Ovis aries: one gene and its partner. The protein of the gene in region 2 binds, or shares a complex with, the protein of the main gene of each other region. Links are inferred from orthologs where the notes say so. Each region holds a gene or a part of one and is shown on either strand. Other genes may lie near its edges.

Region 1 (6,803 bases), on a different chromosome or scaffold from region 2:
TTACCGTTTCCTTCTTTCCCTCCCATCTTCCTTCCTTTCTTCATTAAAGCGTTCTCCAGGGACTTCCCTGGGTGTCCAGTGATTCCAATGCGAGGGGTGCAGTTTCCATCCCTGGTCAGGGAAATAAGATCCCACCTGCTGTGCAGTGCAGTTAAGAAAATATATAAATAAGTAGGTGTTAAAAATAATAAAGCATTCTTCAGAACCTCCAATAGGACACACGTGCATTCTTTTTTTTTTTTTTTTTGGCTCCGGGGTTGGGGGCATCTTAGTTGAGGCAGGTGAAGCCTAGTTCCCTGACCAGGGGTGGAACACCAACTCCACCCTCCAGCATTGGGAGCCCAAAAATCTTAGCCACTGGACCACCAGGGAAGTCCCTTTCATAAGATCTTATGGACAAACCCTAACGAACTTTTTGGCCAACCCAATATATTTATGTATTTATGTTTATTTTATTTGGGTCCTGTGGCTTTTGGGATCTTACTGCCCCAAACAGGGATTGAACCAGGGGCCACCGCCACTGCAGCGAAAGCCCCGAGTCCTAACCACTGGGCAGCCAAGGAAGTCCCTCACGAGTCATTTTAGAGACATAACATGTTTCAAATAGGTTGGCCCAGGGTCGGATCATCTGCCAAGACTTTTAGGTGTTTGAAAAGTAGTTTTATTTAATATAAAATGCATGCCAAAGAAAACGAAAATTGCCTTTAATTTCATCATCCAGAGAAAACTACTGTCAACAAATAGGCATGTATCTTTCCAGTCTTTTATTTATATATTTAAAAATAACTTTAGAATTAGGACATATTCACATATGGTTTTATCATACTGTTCTTCATTCACTATTTTATATCAAATTGCTTTTAACAGCTGCTTAGAATTCCATCTTATAGACATGTCATAAAATTACTTAACCATTCCTATATTTTTGGACAATGAGGATGCTTCTATTTTTTCCTTATTATTTCTTTCCCTTCACTCAGTATCATTTTACTGGATTTTTTTTTTGCCCCCCACCCCCACCCCATGCCACTTGTTTTCTTTCTCTAATCCCATTCCTGTAAAGAGAGAATATTCTTCATCTTTCATATAATTTTTGAGGCATTTGTAATCCCACTTTCATTCACCCAATTCTTCCACCCTTATTAGGCAAGACCATAGAGAAAACAGCCAAGGATGCAGCCGTGGTCAGCGACTCCTTCTTGGGCCTCCCATTAGGGGCAGGTGTGTGTAGAAACCTCACTGGTCTCTGGGCAGGGCCTGCAGCGCAAGCTCCTTGGATTGACAGGTGGCCTGCAGCAGGGACCACCTAAAGGATGCCAAGCCCAGCAGAGGCCTCTGAGTTGGTGCTTCTTCAGAAAAAGGAGGAGGAAGAAGATGAAGGGGTAGAGGGGAAGGGAAGGAGGAAGGAGAGGGTGGGAAGGCGTGGGGAGGCAGAGAGAGAAGGGCACGACCACAGATGAGGCTATGCAAGAGCATGCCAAGCCTCTACTATTCACCATGTCCAAGGTAACTGGCCTGGGAGTCAGTCATCTGTTGTGGGTTCTGATGTACCACCACCAAGCTGGGCCTCCAGAAAACCACAGAACCTCCCACCGCCCCAAGGCGAGGATGTAATGGTTCTTTGGCAGTCCATTCCCGGAGGCCCTGACAGTGTGCCCTTGGTTTTAGAAGCGGGGTGATGGGCAGCCAGTCACTCCCAGCCGTTAGCCTTCCGGCCTGCCCAAGGGTCCCCGGCTGAGGAATTTAAAGGAGCCCTTACTTCACTGCCGGGTACCTCGGAGCTCTGAGCGCTGTCGGTGAGGCAGCTGCCCCAGCTGCGGGTTTCAACTTCCTTGCTTCTCTTGCTACAGCACAGGAAGCTGAAAGGGAGTTTCTAAAGCCACTGCTCTTCCCTCCAGGTAAATTTCATAGGCATCACTGCCCCTGCCTGGCTGGTTCCCTGACGTCTCCACGGCATCCCAGTCCCAACACTTCGGTCGCAAGCTGGGACACTCAAGATGGGGGAGCCACAACCTTGAGCATCCACCCTGGGTCTGGCCAGCCTGCTGGAATCCTAGTAACCTGGAGCTGAACGGGCACATCAAGACTACCCCGTCCCTTTTCCTGATCACGTGTCGGAAGGCACTTCCTGCTTTGCTGGACATTGTCGACTCAGCTCCTGTATTAGCTAGAGTAGAGGGAAGTGAGAAGGACCCTTGAGCTTTACCCTCCCTAAGCAGAGGGGTAAAGGAGGGGCTTCCAGAGGCCTTATCCAGCCCCTACCATGCTCTCCAAGACATTCTAGGAATAGCATGAGATGCAAGCACAGAGGTTTTAGAACCAAACTTGCCAGGGTTAGCATCTCCAGTCTTCTGCTTCTGGTTGGCCGAATTCTAGCAAGTCAGCTGATTCAGTTTCTCCATCTGTGAAATGGGCCAATAACACCCACCTCATGAAGCTGTCATGAGTTTACATGTAAAAACACTTAGAAATGTGGCACGTGTTAATCACTTAACAAACATTAGCTCTTATTACCATAAGTAATCCATGTGGCGCTACTGTTGAAGAACCCACCTGCCAATGCAGGAGATGGAAGAGACACAGGTTCGCTCCCTGGATCAGGAAGATCCCCTGGAGGAGGGCATGGCAACCCACTCCAGTATTCTTGTCTGGAGAATCCCATGGACAGAGGAGCCTGGCAGGCTATAGTTAATGGGGTCGCAAAGAGTTGGACACAACTGAAGTGACTTAGCACACACACACCATAAGCCAGCCTGCTAGGCAACCAAAGTACCACTTGGATTCAGAAAAAGCCATCTGATGTACTTCTGGGCAGTGAGGTCAAAGGTACCAGTTTTCAAAATGCAGCCTTCAGAAAGCTTTTTATTTCTTATTTTCATTTTTTAATACAATGAAAGTAATATGTCTGCATGGTCAGGAAATTCAGACTGTACAGAAAGGGACAAAATAAGAAGGGAAAGTCATCCTCACCTCTTCCCCACATTCCCTTCCTCTTCTTAAAAGTACAGATGACTCCTGCCCACTCTCAAGAACTAGGATTTAGCTGGTGCCAGTGGGTTGGGGGGCCTGAGCATCTGCATTTTAACCTCAGCGTCCTGCTCAGCCATGTGGGTTCCCCCAGAATCACTTCTTCTGACCAGTGCTCCCCCTCAATTTGATGCAGGCTATCTTCAAAATGATCAGTCCTGAGGATGCAAAGCGTCTCCCAGAAGATGAGAACACTCCGGAGAAGCGAGCAGAGAAGATCTGGGGGTTCTTTGGCAAGAAGGATGATGGTGAGTGACTTCTTCCCAGCCCTTGATTTCACAGTGCCGGGCTATGTCCTAGAGATCCCAATGAGATTGACTCTTCCCAGTCCAGAGACCAGGTGGGACGGAGGACCCCTCCTCCCACCACAAGGTGATCAGCAGAAGAATGGTCAGCAGACAGTTGTGGGCCCTTCTGGAACTGACTGAAAATGTCACCACCTCCCACCACTCATAAAACTCCACCACTGCCTGAGATTCTCTGGGGGCGAATGCAGGCTCTAAATGATGGGGTGCTTTGGAAAAAAAAGCATCTTTTGTTTGGACAGAATTAACCCACTTTGCTAAGTCACTTCAGTCGTGTCCGACTCTGTGCGACCCCGTAGACGGCAGCCCACCAGGCTTCCCTGTCCCTGGGATTCTCCAGGCAAGAACACTGGAGTGGGTTGCCATTTCCTTCTCCAATGCAGGAAAGTGAAAAGTGAAAATGAAGTCGCTGAGTCATGCCCGACCCTCAGCAACCCCATGGACTGCAGCCTTCCAGGCTCCCCCGTCCACGGGATTTTCCAGGCAAGAGTACTGGAGTGGGGTGCCATTGCCTTCTCTTCAAACCCACTTTGAAGAAAGATTAAAAAATCAAGGCAACAGCCCATCATTTTGTATACAAATGACAAGTTTTGAGGCTTTGCAAGCATACTGCTTTCTTTTTGAATGGAGTGCCCAGTGTTTTGTTGTTATTTTAGGACACTTTGGTTTACTTGTTTAAACCAAACAAGTAGCCTTCTTCACAGCTGGGATGGGGTAAAGCTCACTTCAGAATTAGCATGGCATCCCAAGTATGCAGGATCTCAATTTATATGGTGTTACTTTAGGAAATTAGTTCGGGTCCCCCCTCCCAACCCCCAAGCACCATCAGATGGAATTAGATTTCAATTCAATTTCAAGAGATTGATGGGGGTAGGGGGTGTGCTATGAGGGGAAATGAGGAGAGATCTTCAGGAGGCTGGGAAAGCCATCAGACTGCAAAGCAGATGAACGGCTTATGGGCAGACTCAAGAAAAGTCTTAAACTGCAGGGCTGGGCTAAGAAAGTCTTGATGAAGCTGAGGGTGTGTCCTCGGGCCCCCTTCTGCCAGGAGCTGACCTGTCTTGGCTCCCTCCCCTGTTCAGTCTGGCAAAGAGCAGCCAATGGGGAAGGTGAGCTTGTACTGAAAGCGGTGATGGATTCCAGAATTGGGTGGCAGGGGCTGCTGGTACCTGAAGCCCATGTCCAGCTCGGGAAGGACACAGGAGAGGGGCTGGTGTCAGACGGGGACTGCAAACTTGAATGACCACTGGGTCTGGGATGATGAATGTGAGAGGAGTGGACAGTGGCCCAATGAAGCAATAGGGACTGGCAAACAGTGGGGCATGAGGGTCTGCCTGGTTTTACGGCCTCTGGTCAGTTGTTACCACATAGGAATACAGATCCGTTGGGGCCTCATTGTCTTTTTTTTTTTCTTTAAAGAGAAGCCAGCAATTGAGATTTTTAAAATCTGAAGTGCCTCCACTGATGAAACACTACATGGTCCACACACATCTGAGAAGCTGGTATCGGTCCATTTGTGATCTCTGGGCCAGTCTCTTACCAGGGTTCCAGGTCACACGCCCAAGGAGGATGATAAAGAAGGCCCCTATTAATCTGCAGTCCAGGGAGAAGGTAGATTAGCAACCAGATCTGTGACGTTAGAGCCAGAATTAGAGTGAGGCATGTGAGGTGCCCTGGCACAAGACTTAAGGAGACCCTTTTCTCAGGTGCCAGCCCTGTGCCCATACTATGCTGAAAGTGAGAGCCTCCTTAAATGTTAAAGGGGAGGTACCTCCCTTTCCTCACCCAGACGTCACCTCCCCTTTGAACACCTTCTCCTGGCTGCTTCAGGTGCCTCCCAGTGGCACGTCACCCCTCTGGCTCTTTAACCCCCATCCTGACATCCTGCTGGGTCTGGCAGGCGCTGAGTCCCTTGTTCTGCTACTTGCTGACCTGAATATTGACCGCAGTGAATGTCACAGGAGGCAGTGGTACTCCTGCCAGGTGACTTGTGTTTTCACATGGTCCATCTGAAGACCAGGCTTCACTCCACAATCAGCTTCTGAGAGTAGGAGTTTCAAGCTATCAGTGAGGCTCATAGGGCACCAGGGACCTTAAAACCCACATTTCAGCACCCTGACCTGTACAAGGAACCTGCATCCTAAACAGGAAGGATTAAGGTCACTCAAAAGGCCTGGAACATAAAAAGCCAATGGAAACCCAGTTCAGTTAAGCCAAGCTTTACTGAGCACTTAGTACATCAGGACTATGAGCCTCGCCATAAGCAGGAAGGAACATTTGCCTCATTCTAGAGTCATTTCTGGGCTTCCCTGGTGGCTCAGATGGTAAAGAATCCGCCTGCAATGCAGGAGACCTGGGTTTGATCCCTGGATTGGGAAGATCCCCTGGAGGAGGGCATGGCAACTCACTCCAGTATTCTTGTTGGAGAATCCCCATAGACAGAGGAGCCTGGCGGGCTACAGTCCATGGGGTTGCAAAGAGTCAGACACAACTGAGCAACTAAGCGCAGCACAGCACAAAGTCACTTCCACAGGTGACTCTCTCCCCATCAGACAAACAGTTTCCCAGGCCAGGGGCATTATCTCACTCTCTTTCATGCCACACCCTGCCCTCTGCCCCCTGCAATGACCTCAGCCCCGTACACAGTGACTCTGGCACAGAGGAAGGGCTTAGTGAGTGCATTTAACTGGAGAGAACCAAATTCAATAGTTGGGGCAAAGCCCTTTCTTGCCCCAAATGGGGAGGTAGATTCAGTTCAGTTCAGTCGCTCAGTCATGTCTGACTCTTTGCGACCCCATGAACCACAGCACGCCTCCCTGTCCATCACCAACTTCCGGATCCATGTCCACCGAGTCGGTGATGCCATCCAATCATCTCATCCTCTGTCGTCCCCTTCACCTCCTGCCCTCAATCTTTCCCAGCATCAGGGTCTTTTCAAATGGGTCAGCTCTTCGCATCAGGTTGCCAAAGTATTGGAGTTCCAGCTTCAACATCAGTCCTTCCAATGAACACCCAGGACTGATCTCCTTTAGGATTAGGGATGCAGAAATGCCTAGGAAAGGATCGCCAACCAATCAGAAGAGATACAGCACTAGCCCAGCCTCCTGGAGGCCCTGCAGGGCCTGTCATTAACCCTCTCATTGCTGGTTCACCGGGAGGTCCAGGGGTCCTAGGAAAGAGCTGGAGGGTGGGGTTATCCTCAGGGGCAAGGAGATTAGTATTTTCATAATAGAGCCATCCACTCTGGGTATGCTTGCAAAGATCAGCTTCATTGCAGCTGGAAACAGCCTATCCTGACTGTATTATTTTCTCCTCTTGCAGATAAACTTACAGAGAAAGACTTCATCGAGGGGACCCTGGCCAATAAGGAAATTCTGCGACTGATTCAATTCGAGCCTCAAAAAGTGAAGGAGAAACTGAAGGAAAAGAAACCCTGATGTCAACTGCTCAGGTCTCCTCCCTGCCCACCCC
Region 2 (8,152 bases):
GGAGATCCGTCCAGTCCATCCTAAAGGAGATCAGTCCTGGGTGTTCATTGGAAGGACTGAGGCTAAAGCTGAAACTCCAATACTTTGGCCACCTCATGCAAAGAGTTGACTCATCGGAAAAGACCCTGATGCTGGGAAAGATTGAGGGCAGGAGCAGAAGGGGATGACAGAGGATGAGATGGTTGGATGGCATCACCAACAGAATGGACATGGGTCTCGGTGGGCTCTGGGAGTTGGTGATGGACAGAGGGACCTGGCGTGCTGTGATTCATGGGGTCACAAAGAGTTGGACACGACTGAGCAACTGAACTGAACTGAACAAAGCGATTGGTTCAAAACTGGAAAAGAAGTACCACGTTATCACCCAGTTTATATAAATTACATGCAGAAAGTACATCGCATGAAGTGCCAGGCTGGATGAAGCACAAGCTGGAATCAGGGTCGCCAGGAGAAACATCCGCAGCCTCAGACATGCAGATGACACCACTCTAACGGCGGAAAGTGAAGAGGAGCTAAAGAGCCTCTTGAAGAAGGTGAAAGAGACAGTGAAAGAGCTGGCTTAAAACTCAACATTCAGAAACCTATGATCATAGCATCTGGTCTCACCGCTTCATGACAAATAAAAGGAGGAAAGTGGAAGCAATGGTGGACTTCTTGGGCTCCAAAATCACTGCAACGGTGACTGCAGCCATGAAATTAAAGGACACTTGCTCCTTGGAAGAAAAGCTATGACCGACCTAGACAGCATATTGAAGAGCAGAGACATCACTTTCCTGACAAAGGTCCATCTAGTCATAGCTATGATAGTCTCCAGTAGCCGTGTATGGATGTGAGATTTGGAAAATAAGGCTGAGTGCCGAAGGATTAATGCTTTTGAACTGTGGTGTTGGAGAGGACTCTTGAGAGTCCCTTGGAGTGCAAGGAGATCCAACCAGTCCATCCTAAAGGAGATCAGTCCTGAATATTCGTTGGAAGGACTGATGCTGAAGCTCCAACACTTTGGCCACCTGATGAGAAGAGCTGACTCACTGGAAAAGACCCTGATGCTGGAAAAGATTGAGGGCAGGAGGAGAAGGGGACGGCAGAGGGTGAGATGGCTGGATGGCATCACCAGCTCGATGGACATGAGTGTGAGCAAGCTCCGGGAGCTGGTGAAGGACAGGGAGGCCTGGCGTGCTGCGGTCAACAGGGTCGCAGAGTCGGACATGACTGAGCGGCTGACCAGCAACAGCAGCGCAGTCACAAGGACTGAGTGACGCGCCCCACAGGCCCCGCCTTGCGGGGACAGGACACAGCCTGGGGACAGTCACGTGCAGGGACTTCAGGGCTCCTGGGGCCTCGAGCGAGGGGGCTCCAACCACCAGCCTTGCAAATGCCCCTGGCGCCACGCGGGCCCCTGGGCACCTGTGAGCACCGGCCTTCCCTCCAGCTCCACCTCTGCAGACCCGCCTCTCCTCCTGTCCAGGCCTCTGGACAGTGGAGGCCAGCCGGGCCCACTGGCCAGCACCCTCCCAAGCCACCCTGCACCGCCAGCCTCTTTCTATACTCATCTTAAAACCCTATGGAGTCCTTTTAAAGTGCTTCTAAAAGTTGTGCTGGGTAAGGAGAAGAGCCCTTCTTGATTTGGGAAGCCCTTTCTCTCCACTGCATTGGAAGATCTTAGGCAGATTGTACTGTAAAAGTTCAGTAAGTTTCCTGAACTCGGGAGAGAAGCAGCTTAGTTCCCTAACAGCTGGGTTAAGATTGCAGGTAGATGGCCCGAGGGTGACCGCTGCCCCGGAGTCCATTGGGCAGAGCGCCCTCAGGGGCCCTGGGTGGGGTGCTGCGGGGGGGCTGCCATTCACCCTAGCACAGGAACGCTGGCGCTAGACGGAGCACGGCCGGAGACGAGTATCCGAGACACTAAGCCACTTTGATCCCGCCCGAACGGAGCCTGATGCCAGAGGCAGAGCCGGGGGGCCTCTGCCCACTGTGTACCCCTGCCTCCCCCCAGGACCCGGGCAGCGCTGAGCTGGGCGCCCTGGCCTCCCCGCACTGGCCCTGGGGATGCCCTGGGCAGCCTCCTCACTGCGCAACCAGGGTGTCCCGGGAAGCCAGAGGGAGGGGTCTGGGGAACCGATCCAGCCTCCCTGGCACTGGCTGCTGTGTCTCGTGGGGGCACCAGCAGACCGAGGAGGATGAGGAAGCTGGCACGCCACCCTCGCCAGCTACGCCCAGGCCGCGCTTCGAGGAGGACGGCCACCTGGCCCGTCCCAGGCGCAGGGCTAGAGGCCCAGAGCAGCCGGCCGAGCCGAGCCGCAGGCCCAGTGTGGAGCCTCACCCACGCCCGCGGCCCTGGCCAGGCACTCGGCCGCTGTGCAGACAGGCGGGTATGACCAGGGGGTGCAGGGGACCGACCCCCACCCAGGGCCGCCCCCCGGAGCGGCACAGCCCACCTGGTATCCCTTCCGCTTCTTCAGCCGCTTCTTGTTCAGCTTCTTGCATGCGTACAGCTTGCCGGTGGCCTTCATCTGGCAGGCGAACACCTCCCCGAAGCCGCCCCGCCCCAGCACCCTGAAGTCTAGGAACCAGTCCTCGCCCATGGGCTGGGCCTCCAGCCACTTCCACTGCAAGAAGCGCAGGAAGTAGAGACTGTCCAGGAACTCCTGGAAAGGGGCCTGGCCTAGGTGTGCCAGGACGGCCCGCAGCAGGGGCTGGAAGAGCCCGTCCCCTGCCCCCTCCCGGGCCCGCGCCGCTGTCTCCGCATCCAGGAAGCTGCAGAAGAGCTGGGCCTGGGGGTCCAGGTACGCGGCCCGGATGGCCTGGGCCTTCTGCGGCCGGAGGGCATCGTCAGCCGTGTCATAGTCCTCGATGTCCCTCCAGACCTGCAGGGCCGGCCCGTGCTGCTCGTGGGCCCGCAGAAACTGCTGGAAGAGCCGCTTGCCGATGGGCTGCTCCAGGCACACACCCTCGAAGCCCAGGTCGAGGCTCTCCCGGAGCGCCTCACACTTGGACAGCGGGGGCAGCTTGAGCCTGGCCAGGTACTTCCTGTCCCGGGCGGCCGGACCGCTGCTCGCGTCGAAGCTGCCCCGGGCCGCGATGAAGGCCGAATTGGCCACCACCGTCTCCAGGGACCCGAAATCCATCCCAGCGCCGGGCCCTGTTCACGTCTGGCTCCCGCGTCCCCAGCCGGCCTGACCTGCTGCCCTTGGCCTGTGGCCCGTGCCCACCCTCGGGATGGGAGGCTGGCCAGGCGGTGGGAGCCCCAGGAAGCCCGCTGACGCAGCTCGGGCTAAATCCCAGCCAGAGTAGAGGACGTGCAGGGCAGCAAGCAGGTGCCAGAAAAAGACAATCCCTAAGCTGCTCGCAGACGGATTAGCCGGGCTGCGCTGCCCACTGCTTCCTGCGAGGAAGGGCACGCGGGGCCCAGGCCCACCTCGCAGGCCCGGAGCCCCTGCCTCACGGGAGCTGCCCTGTCCAGCCCGCAGGCCCGAGCAGACGGGCCGGAGCCTCATCTGCTCCCTGGTGGGGACACGGGGCCCAGGAGGAGCCTCGGTTCACGAACATGGCTGGTTTTCCTCACCGTGGGCCATCTTCGTCTTTAGAAAAGCAATCAGCGAGGAGACCAGCGGATGCTGGTTTATGAGTAGACTTCCCGCGTGTCCACAGGCGAGACCCTGCCCAGGGGACACCCTGGCCAGGGCACCGGTCAGTATGTGAGCCCGGACACTCGTGCCAACCTGGCCCTGAGAACAGCGTGTCAGGCTGGTGGCGTCCTCGCCTGGGGCCCTGGCTCCTGCCGAGGAGTCAGCTCCCCGTCAGCCCCTGCCCTCACCGGTGTGGCTGGTGGAGCAGGAATGCCAAGAGAAGCGTCCAGGTGGAAACAGAGCAGCATGCAGGACACAGCGACTGCACCTGGGGCTGAGGCCCCACGGAGAGAGGCAGGAGAGCGGATGGAGAGGCCAGGGGCACGCCCGGGGCCCCCCGAGACACGCCCGGGGCTCGCCCGGGACACGCCCGGGACACGCCCGGGGCTCCCCGAGACACGCCCGGGGCTCGCCCTAGACTCACTCCGGGCTCCCCTGAGACGCACCTGGGACACTTGGACACAGCTGGGGCGCACTCACAGGGCACCTGGGCTCACCTCGGCACAGCCTTGCCGGTCTTGCTCTAGTGGGCAGCAGGTGCTCGGTGCCTACCGTAAGGGGAAAAATGATGAGGAAGCGGTGGGGGTTGGTGACAGTTGAAGAAGGGAGGGGTGAAGGGCCACAGAAATGCAGAACGCCCCAGCCAGAAGGGGCCAGGGAGCCGGCCTCCACGGCGGGAGGGGAGGGCTCCAGAGGGCAGGGAGGCTCTGCAGGGGTGGGAGGACGGCGGACTCTGCAGCAGCTGGGGAGGCAGAGGAGAGGGCTCACCACTGAGAGGGCGGGTTGGCGCGTCCAGCGGCACTTCCTAGCAGGTGACCTTGGGCCAGTCGCTGCAACCCCTTCCTGCCTTTTCTTTACCCTCCAGGGATCAGATGGGACAGCAGCCCCAGCACAGGCCTGGGCTGGAGTCCCCTCCTTAGTGTTCCTGACTCTGTGTCCTGAGCCAGTGCCTCCCAGTGGCACCAGGCACTCGAGTCACCTGGAGAAATAAAGGTCTGCTTCGGTGGGCCTGGCACGGGGCTGGGACTGAGGTCAGGACGCAGCCCGAGAGGCAGGGTCTGAGGACAGCGAAGCCCGCTGGATGAACTCTGAGCTCCCTCCGGGGGAAGCACAGGGTAAGCAACCTTAGACGTGTTTATCACGGGGCTTACAGGCTGAAGAGCAAGCCCGGCGAGAGGAGTCAAGTACACAGAGCTCCCTAAACTCATCGGGTCCTTTTCCAAAATTAAAGTTTTACTGAGAGTAACTGTAGACTCACATGCAGTTATAAGAAGTAATGCAGAGACCCCCGCGCCCTGGCCCCGCCCCCAGTGACAGCACCTCCCCCACCCAGCCCAGGATCAAAGCGCACACCGACGTGGACACAGCCAGCACTCAGGACCCCCGACACCACGTGGTCCCCTCTTATAGACAGCCACCCCTTCCCACCCTGACACTGTCCTGAACCTTGATAGCCGCTCAGCTGTTCTCCATTTCCATAAAGCTGTCATTTCAAGAATGTTATATGTTGCAGTCCATGGGGTCACAAAGGGTCAGACACTACTCAGCAGCTGAAAAGCAACTCCACATAAGTTCAGTTCAGTTCAGCTCAGTCGCTCAGTCGTGTCCGACTCTTTGCGACCCCATGAATCGCAGCACGCCAGGCCTCCCTGTCCATCACCAATTCCCGGAGTTCACTCAAACTCACGCCCATCGGGGAGTTGCACGTTATATAACTTCGGGGACTGGCTCTTCACTCAGCATGACTCCCTGGAGGCAAGCAGGTGGCTTGCCTACCCACACCTGAGTAGTATTCCACAGTGCAGGGGGACCATGGCTGGTTTAATCATTCGCTTGTTGAAGGACATCTAGGTTGATTCCAGTTTGGGCTATCGTAAATAAAGCTGCTATAAACATACAGATATCCATACAGATATAAAGTTTAGTTTCTCTGGATTAGTGCCCGAGAGCATTGCTGGGTCATGCGGCACTTGCGATATTTGCATGTTTGATTTTTTAAGAAACTGGCAAACTTTTCCCCAGATGGTGCAGGATGAGATGGTTGGATAACATCACCAACACAACGGACATAAGTTTGAGTAAACTCTGAGAGACAGTGAAGGACAGGGAAGCCTGGTGTGCTGAAGTCCAGAGGGTCACAGAGAGTCAGACACGACTTAGCCACTGAACCCCAACTACCATTTTCCACTCCTGCCAGCAACGTATGAGCAACCCAGTTTCTCAGCATCCTCACCAGCATTTGGAGTTGTCGCCATTTTTCATTCCAGCTCTTGTGATAGGTGGTACCCCACTGTGCTTTTACTTTGCATTTCCTCACTGGCCGGTTATGTTGGGCATTTATGCAAGTGTTTATTTCCCATCTGCGAATCCTCTTTGGTGAAATATCTCTTCACGTCTTTTGACCGCATTCTAACTGGACTGCTTGCTTTTCTGATGTTGTATTTGAAGTCCAATTTTTCAGTTTTTTTTTTCTTATTTTGGTGTCAAGTCTTAAAACTCTGTCTTAACCTTTAAGAACCACTTAAAGATTTTCTCACATTTTTTTTTCTAAAAGTTGTATACTTTCACATGTAAATCCATGACCATTTTGAGTTAATTTTTTTGCAAGCTGTGAGCTAGGTCGGGGTTTTTGGACGTTCAGTTGCTCAAGCTCCATGTGCTAAAAAGGTCATCTTTGCTTCAGTGAACGTCTTTGGCGCTGCTGTCAAAGTCCATGGGCGCGTGGGCATGAATCTGCTTCTGAGTTTTCTATTGTGTTTATCGATCTCTGCCCCTCACTGTCTTGATGATGTGTTTCTATCTGTCCTTGCAGCCTTGAAGTTATGCGGACCAAGTCTTCCTACCTTATTTTTCATTTTTAAAATATTTTCTAAAAAAGTAAATATTTCAAATAAAGAATAAAATATTTAACTTTTCTAGTTCCTTGGCCTTTCTAAATAAATTTTAGAATAGCCCTATCCCTAGATACAAAACAAGGTCTTGCCTGGATGTTGATAGAAACTGTGTTAAGACAGCATATCAGTTTGGGGAGCATGGACATCTGTGTAGAGTCTTGCAACCTGTGAGCACACTGTGTGTCTGCATCCGTGTAGATTTCTGTCTCACGGTCACTTTGTGGTCTTCAGTACAAAAGCCCTGTACACGCTCTGCTAGATGAACACCTGATCAGCCCTGGGACTTCTTTGGAAGGAACGATGCTGAAGCTGAAACGCCAGTACTTTGGCCACCTCATGCGAAGAGTTGACTCATTGGAAAAGACGCTGATGCTGGGAGGGATTGGGGGCAGGAGGAGAAGGGGACGACAGAGGATGAGATGGCTGAGTGGCATCACGGACTCGATGGACGTGAGTCTGAGTGAACTCCGGGAGATGGTGATGGACAGGGAGGCCTGGCGTGCTGCGATTCATGGGGTCGCAAAGAGTCGGACACGACTGAGCAACTGAGCTGAACTGAACTGGACTGAAGTCCTTTTTGTTTTGAGCAGTTGCTTTCTGGAGTTGCACGTGTGTGTCTTTGAAATCCAGAAGTTCGATTGCCGTGTGGCAGGGGTGGGGTGCCTTGTTAGCAGTTCTCTCCGCTTCTTGGATCTGAAGGCTCACTCCTCACCCCCCTTTATTCTGCCCTTGCAGGACCCCAACGACTCGGGCGTCAGTCTTTACCAAACCTGGGCACCGAGCTCAGCACAATTTTTTCTGGCTCTAGTTTCTCTCTATTTGTTCAAACCTGGAAACTTCTATTTTTTTTCTTCCAAGTCACTGATCCTTTCCCCTCTCCCCTCCCCTCTGCTGAGGAATACATTCTTTGAGCTTTTTAGTCTGGCTTCTGTATTTTTTAATCTAGAATTTCCATTTGGTTCTTCTTTGTATCTTTGGTTTCTTTCCTTAAACTCCCTGCTTCTGTTTCCCATTTGTTCACGCATGTTCACAGATGCTCAATGAAGCACCTTCACTGCGGCAGCTTGACAGCCTGTCGATGACACCAGCCTTTGTCACCCCAGTCTTGACACCTATTGACGCTCCTGTTTCGATCCCTTTTGAGGTCTTCCCAGGTCTTGCTCTGATCAGTGGTCATCCACTGGGCATCTTCCTCCCATCTAGCGCTTCAGTTTCCTCTGACTCCTCGGGCCCCCGAGCAGGAGCGGAGGGGTGGATCCTGCTCCTTACGGCCCCTAGGTGGGAACCTGGGGTGAGCCCCCACGGTCTGGGGTGCACCCTTTTCGGAGGTCATCTGCTCAAGTGGTCCCGCAGGCATGCTGGGCAGGAAGCTGCCCTCTCCCAGTGCCCACCCCCAACCATGGACACATGTCCCGAGAAGGTCGTTGAGACAGCACGTCTGCAGCTCAGCACACACGTTCATGCTGTGGGAATTCAGAGCCTGAGCATGAGGGTTCAGCCCCAGACTAAGCCCCGGGCGTCTGCACTGTGCAGGCCAGGGCTGCAGTCTGCGTCTGGCAGTTGCTGCCCTGCACCTTGAGCCTCCTCGCCTGGGGTCCCAGCTCTACCGGCGTGGACAGTGAGACCAAAGCC

Evidence for each region. Proteins that work in one complex are often made in the same cells at the same time.
Region 1: the proteins of GRK1 (region 2) and RCVRN are in contact, whole or in part, in an NMR structure (PDB 2I94), measured with the Bos taurus proteins. The link is inferred for Ovis aries from reciprocal best matches to the Homo sapiens genes GRK1 and RCVRN. Residues at the interface, in NP_776598.1 of Bos taurus: Phe3, Gly4, Leu6, Glu7, Val9, Val10, Ala11, Asn12, Ser13, Ala14, Phe15, Ile16; in NP_776590.1 of Bos taurus: Lys22, Trp31, Ser34, Phe35, Glu38, Cys39, Phe49, Ile52, Tyr53, Lys55, Phe56, Phe57, Tyr86, Leu90, Thr93, Ser94, Phe188, Glu189.

Annotation. Positions count from the first base shown.
Region 1 is NC_056064.1:28,840,012-28,846,814, reverse strand, and holds part of RCVRN (recoverin), read left to right. Parts: intron 1-3,163; coding exon 3,164-3,275; intron 3,276-6,653; coding exon 6,654-6,769; 3' UTR 6,770-6,803. UniProt on the Homo sapiens protein: Acts as a calcium sensor and regulates phototransduction of cone and rod photoreceptor cells. Modulates light sensitivity of cone photoreceptor in dark and dim conditions.
Region 2 is NC_056063.1:86,081,821-86,089,972, reverse strand, and holds the start of GRK1 (rhodopsin kinase GRK1), read right to left. Parts: upstream 5,395-8,152; 5' UTR 3,126-5,394; coding exon 2,436-3,125; intron 1-2,435. UniProt on the Homo sapiens protein: Retina-specific kinase involved in the signal turnoff via phosphorylation of rhodopsin (RHO), the G protein- coupled receptor that initiates the phototransduction cascade.